2 linked regions of the Nothobranchius furzeri genome follow. The protein of the gene in region 2 interacts with the protein of the main gene of each other region in a biochemical or structural test. Links are inferred from orthologs where the notes say so. Each region holds a gene or a part of one and is shown on either strand. Other genes may lie near its edges.

What was found.
Region 1: the proteins of rc3h2 (region 2) and klhl6 form a complex in vitro, tested with the Homo sapiens proteins (2 studies listed by BioGRID, with this or other methods). The link is inferred for Nothobranchius furzeri from reciprocal best matches to the Homo sapiens genes RC3H2 and KLHL6.

What each region holds. Positions count from the first base shown.
Region 1 is NC_091754.1:23,540,140-23,543,968, reverse strand, and holds part of klhl6 (kelch-like protein 6), read left to right. Parts: coding exon 1-402; intron 403-1,940; coding exon 1,941-2,178; intron 2,179-2,547; coding exon 2,548-2,750; intron 2,751-2,840; coding exon 2,841-3,054; intron 3,055-3,278; coding exon 3,279-3,577; 3' UTR 3,578-3,829. UniProt on the Homo sapiens protein: Involved in B-lymphocyte antigen receptor signaling and germinal center formation.
Region 2 is NC_091746.1:50,004,518-50,007,223, reverse strand, and holds part of rc3h2 (roquin-2), read left to right. Parts: intron 1-2,117; coding exon 2,118-2,282; intron 2,283-2,378; coding exon 2,379-2,610; intron 2,611-2,706. UniProt on the Homo sapiens protein: Post-transcriptional repressor of mRNAs containing a conserved stem loop motif, called constitutive decay element (CDE), which is often located in the 3'-UTR, as in HMGXB3, ICOS, IER3, NFKBID, NFKBIZ, PPP1R10, TNF and in many more mRNAs.

The sequences.
Region 1 (3,829 bases), on a different chromosome or scaffold from region 2:
ATTCATCTGGAGAGCTGTGTGGGAATCCTGAACCTGGCCGACAGCCACGCTCTTCCAGCCCTGAAGACACGAGCTCAGGACTTCATCGCGTCTCAGTTCTCTCAGGTGCTCCAGCAGCAGGACTTCCTGGAGCTTCCAGCGGAGTCTCTGGAGGCCATCCTGCAGAGGGATGACCTGGAGGTGAAGTGTGAGGAGTGTGTTTTTGAAGCAGTGATGCGCTGGTTGAGAGCCCGGCAGGATCGATCATCGTTACTGGTCAGGCTGCTCTCACACGTGCGGCTGCCTCTGTTGGAGCCGGCATATTTTGTGGAGAAGGTGGAGTCAGACGAGCTGATACGACACTGCAGTGATGCCTTTTCTCTGCTGCAAGAGGCCCGCCTGTTCCACCTCTCTGGCAGGGAGGTTAGTGTCAGTTCAGATCTTTTGAATGAGGTCATAGACCGTCAGTACTTTACCTCTTCTTGACTGATGTTTGAATGACCTCAGCTTGGAGAAATGGAGGAAGATTCTGACCAGATGAATAGGCCAAAAGTTATTTACAATTTACACAGAATTCCTTCAGAAATGTAATGTTTCTGCAAAAATAACAGTGTCATATAAAACTGGTGGTGGTAGAAATTAGCACTGAAGTTGTTTTAAGGCAACAAAAATCCCCTTTGACCCTCATCTGACCCTTCCACTGGATGTGTAAGTGGGACATAACGTAATAGACACGTTTTACCCACAAGCTCCTTTTCCACTGGGAGCGTTTCAGACAGCAGCGAAAGCATTCCACTGACATGGTCACAAAATCACGAGAGAATTTCAAGATCACGCGGGATTTCATCACATCACATGATAACAAGCAAGGAAAAAAATGGCAGCATGTATCCAAAAAGGTCGGTGGTTTATTTTTTTGTTCTGTTTACCTCAGCTACACAGGTTTCAATGGAAATTATGCACTTTTTATTTAGAAGTCAATCATCTAGAAATCTGATTGTGGTTTTTATTTGAAAGTTTGACTCCCTGTCTGGCCTGATCTGAGCCGCTGAGCTTGACGCCTTCTGAAAGCATAAAAAATAGAGTTGAAAGCCTCCTTTCCACCGGGCATGTAACCATCACGAAGCAGCCGCGAAACGCACTTTGTGACTTTTAGCTGCCACCGACAGCTACTGTAAGTTTAATGTTTTGAATGAGTCTCAACAGGAATGCTATATCATATTTAGAGTCTATTTATTATGTGCTACGCTTCCAAAATACATCAAACTCCACAGTTTAGATCGAGCCAGTCAGGAAGTCGAACACGAAATCAGTGTAAAGCATCCAGAAACTTTCAAAATAAAAGACACATGCTGATAAGTGTACGTTGTTTCCTGTAAAATCTCCGTAGCCAATGTAAACAGAACAGAAAATAAATCGCAGACCTTTTAGGATACACTCAGCTGTTTTTCTCCTTGCTTGTTATTGTGTGGACTTCTGAAATCGCACGTGGTGTTGCAGTTCTCCTGTGATATTATGACTTTGTGGGATCAGCGGCGTGGAATGATTTTTCTCCCACTTGCTGTCTCACAGTTGAAAGTTTGCTCGCGGGTAAAACATCACTATTTTGTTACATGCCACTTTCGCGTTCGTTGGAAAGGAGGCTGAAATGTAAGCAACGCGTTCCTAACTTCTGGAACGCTTCCAAAATGCAACGCTTCACAGCCGGTGGAAATGCACTCACCCGCTGCGTACTACGTTTTGCAAACGTTACGCGACACTTACGTGTCCGGTGGAAAGGCCGGGTATCAACCCAGTCAGAAATAAACTATTTCTCCAAACAGAGGCTATTCAAAGAATTATCTATAACAGGCAAGATGCTGATGAAAAAATAACCTTTTCACTTCGCTTTAAATAATCTGACTTATATATTTAAATCATCTTTTTTCACACATTTCTCTCTCTCGCGGACCTGTTTGAAGGTGGTCTCTGAGCGGACCAAACCTCGTGAGCAGCACTTTTTATCAGAAGTCTTCCTCATCATCGGCGGCTGCACCAAAGATGAGCGTTTTGTTCCCACCGTCACATGTCTGGACCCTCTGAGACGCAGCAGGCTGGAGGTGGCCCGGCTGCCGATGACAGAGATTGAGGACGAAACCCATAGTAAAAAATGGGTGGAGTTTTCTTGCATCACTTTCCACAACGAAGTATACATATCAGGTGAGGGTCGTTCTTAGACTGAGAGTGAAATTCATTCACCGTTTGGTGATTTAACACCTGCTGGGTTTCTGTCAAATCAAAGCTGCACAAAGATCAGAAAATACAAGTGAGCAAAAAACAGGAAGAGCTGAAGTTATCTGCATCAACAACTGTGGTTTAGGGTGTTTCCCACCCAGGAACTGAAACCTCAGGCGTGCTGACTTCAACGGCTCAGGACGATGCACACAGTAAAAGTAGAGAACAGGTCATGAGATTCTGCATCAGAGCAGTACCACCATGGTTCAATGCAAAGCAGCAGGGTCGCTTCAGGATAAAGTACTTCATGATGCATCGGCGACTCAGAATGTTTTTTTCCAAACGATCTTGCAGGAGGTAAAGATACACAGCGTGACGTTTGGAAATATAACGGCGCTCTGGATAAATGGATCCAAATAGAGTCACTGGGAAACGCACGCTGGAGACACAAGATGGCAGCTCATGGTGGGAAGGTGTATGCACTGGGAGGATTTGATGGAGTTCAAAGACTTTCCAGTGTGGAGGCGTATGATCCGTTTCACAACCGCTGGACGCAGGTACCATTCTCTCTTTGAGTTTGCTGTCTTACCCTCTTTTTTCCGTTTGACTCAGATTGTTTCAGGCTTTTTTGAATGTTCTTGCCCCAGGTGACTCCTCTTGCTATGGGTGTGAGCTCGTTTGCAGCAGCAAGCTTTGACAGGTGGATTTTTGTGATTGGTGGAGGTCCCAATGGAAAACTAGCCACTGATAAAGTTCAGCGCTGGGAACCAGGGACAGACAGCTGGGAAATGAGGGCTCCGATCCCCATTGAGACGAAATGCACTAATGCTGTAACCTTCAAGGACCGCATCTATATAGTTGGTAAGATGGAAGGAACTTAAAATCTCAGTTATAAATAAAATATTTAAAATTTACTCAAAATGTGCAATGATTTTGTAACCCCTCATTATGACACCATTTAATCCCTCAAAAGTTGCATTTACTTCATCAGTTTATAGGAAAACATGTTGAAACTGCAATATTTCAGTACATTAGAGGACATTTTTATTTTAAATTAATGCAGTTATTAAATTCTGTGTTTTCAGGTGGTGCCATGCACGCCATGTACTGCTACGCCCCCTTGTCCGACTCCTGGACCCTTGTGGCCCAGCTGGGGGAGAGGGCGAGCTGTGCCATCGCCGCCTGCAACAATAAAATTTTTATCACAGGGGGAAGAGATAACAAGAACCAAGTCATCTCCACAGTGATGTGCTGGGACGTTGAGGGAGCGGTGTTGACGGAGGAGTGTGTTTTACCAATGGGAGTGTCTCACCACGGCAGTGTGACCCTCATGAAGTCCTACACACACATTCTTAGGATAACACCCCCATCAGAGGGCCAATGACACAGGCCTCTCTCAAAGAAAGACTATTACAAGGAATTTGCATTTTTACATGAACACTACGCACTTTAAAATTTTGATTTTTGTTGAACAAAACTTTTAGAATTTTTGAAAATTTTCTAATTCAAATTTTTAATTTTAATGTTTGATCTGATTTAAACTAAGATGGTTCTAAAACAAATGAAAATAGACTAAATCTACTCTTTTACTCAGCCGAAACTCTTTCATTCTTCAGACACAAGAAAGAAGGTAAGA
Region 2 (2,706 bases):
ATTCAGAAAAAGGAATTTTGCATATGATAAATTTTATTCTTAAACTGACCGTGTGTATTTTCCTTGGCGATAAGGGGCAGTAACCTAAATCATTGCAAGCACACATTTTTGTGTTCAAGTAAGACCTTACCAACAGATGCCCATTAAAGGGACAACGGAGTTTTGAATTTTTATGCTCGCGATTGCCCCTTTAGGCCAAAAGCGTAACGGCAGCTTCAATAGGAGGCTCGTGCACGAGGCGCACATGCTGTAACGAAAATAACAGCTGAGACTCTGTGAAGCTGACAGTCCCTTGTGTGTGTGTGTGTGTGTGTGTGTGTGTGTGTGTGTGTGTGTGTGTGTGTGTATGTGTGTGTGTGTGTGTGTGTGTGTGTGTGTGTGTGTGTGTGTGTGTTTGTGTGTGTGTGGCCCGGAGGACAGAGGACAGGAGAACGCGCAGCTAATTAATTAAATAATTTGGCTCTGTACCTTTCTCTTCAGCACAGCCGACAAAGGTTTATGATGGGTCAGTCCTCCTGCATGTTCAGATAATTCCATTCCCTTGCTTAAAAAATTGTTCCAAAATGAAAGTTGAACCCACATCTTTTTTATCTGTGAATTGAATGCCATTCAGCGAGTCTCAAATAAAAATTTGGGCATCTTACTGTAAAAAAATAAATCATTAATGTAAAAAAGAAACTCTAAAACAACAATGTTCAATTCCAGAATCAAACCCAGGACTTCTGCACGGAAGTCCAAAATCTTACTAGGCGAGCTAAATCACCGGTGGTGACTTCTGTATCTGTAACATTTATATTCTTGATGACAGCTGAAACAACGTTCAAAGAACGGTTCGGAGGGCTATGCCTGAGCGTGAACGCGCATGAAGCAGCCTGCTTGACCCGAGCAGCTCTCTTTTTCTGTGATTTTACAGAAAAACAGGCAATCACAATAAAAATGCCAGGGCTCATTCTACAGGACCAGGGTATTGCAGGAGAATGTATGAAGAAGAAATTTATTATTTCTATACATGTTTTGGCTGTCAGACTTCCATAATGCCCCTTTAAGGTCAAAAATCCTTGAGAGTGTAACCTCCAGCAAAATAACAAGAACATCAGATTCCTTTTCATCACTTGCAATGAGTGAAGAGGTAATTGTGTAAAAGAACGTTTATTAACTCATTCACTGCCAGCCGTTTCCTGATTGCTAACGGCCTTTGCTGCCAGCGTTTCTCACCGTTTTTACTGTTTTTTTAAGAGTTACAGAACGTTGCGTGCTAGGATGATGTCGACACCAAAACAACCAAAACAAAGCAGAGGCTCACCTCTTACATCAGGAAGAATCCGTGTGTTTTCAGCATTATCTGTTCTTTCATAATCCTTTGTCGAATTGTGATCGGCAGACGCTTTTCCGGTTCGCGCCTCACTTTTTTTACAGGAACGGCCCAAAACAATCTCCTAACACATTGATGTTCTGCTTCCTGATCACGTGACGTGTGACGTATGCGGATGAAGATCGGCTTCAGGGCTGAGATGTTTGTTCTCTCAGCGCGGGGGCTCGTTCTGATTTTGAAACAGTCAAAAAATGCAAATGACGACTTTAGTCGTCATTGGCAGTGAATGAGTTAATGCTGAAATTTTTGTAACCATTTGTTACAAATCAGTAAAACAATTTGTCCCCATGGGCTCTTGTAGAAAGAAACATGGCATCCAATATGGTGTCGCCCAGAGACTTAGACCCAATCCCATGTATTTTAGAACAGATTTTTATGGTTAAATGTTATGAAACCGCCAATATTTTTAAACAACTGAGCATCTTTTAATTCATATACAACATTTCAATGGATATTTCCAGAGAGTAATGGTAAAAACTACACATTGTCACTTTAAAGGGCTAAATCTCGGGTAGTGAGTAAAATACCTTATATTTTAAACAAACAGCCATGAATGATGATTTAGTCAGCCTGTTAGTGCAGGTTTCTGTGAGCAACTAATTGCAGCTTTGATGTGACTTTAAGATTGTCTCTTTTGTCTTTCCCAAGCATTTTGTTTCTTTTTTATTTTACTAACTGCTGAGTGATGTTGCTTCAGTGGCACTAGGAAGTCTCTGACTAGCTGAATAATGTTTGTTCTGCTCAGCATGTGGAAAGCAGCGGAGGTCAGTGTATGGGATGCAGGATCAGAAACGAAGAAAGTCTGGCACACTACTCTCCGTGGTCCTATGGGTCCACCGGGTCCTCCCTGAGCCCGTTTGAGCCTGAAGCTCTCACACACACATCTGCTCACTCTTGCTCGAAGCATCCGGTGAGACTCTTTGCACGCTCACACAATTAGCACACCTCTCAAAGACTAACAAGTTTGTTCACATCCACGTTTTGCACTGATGCGGTTCTGATGCAGGAGTTGGACGGTACTGAAGGAGAAGCTGTCTCCAGGAAACAATGGCTGCACACGTTGGATAACTATAGACGTTTGAAAGAGGAGGATCCCATCATTCCCTTCAGCGAGGCTCCTATTATCTCCAAGTGGGGCGCCATTTCCAGAGCATCCCGCACGGCTTACCACAACACGGACCCGGTCCAAGCTACATCCTGCCAGGGCGGTGCCAACACCACGCCCATAAACTTTAAAGGTTTGGAAAACTGAAAAACTATTTTTAATGATTATTTTGTTATCAGTCACTTTGAGTTTTTCATGCAGGCTGAATATGAAAATAGTCTCCTACACC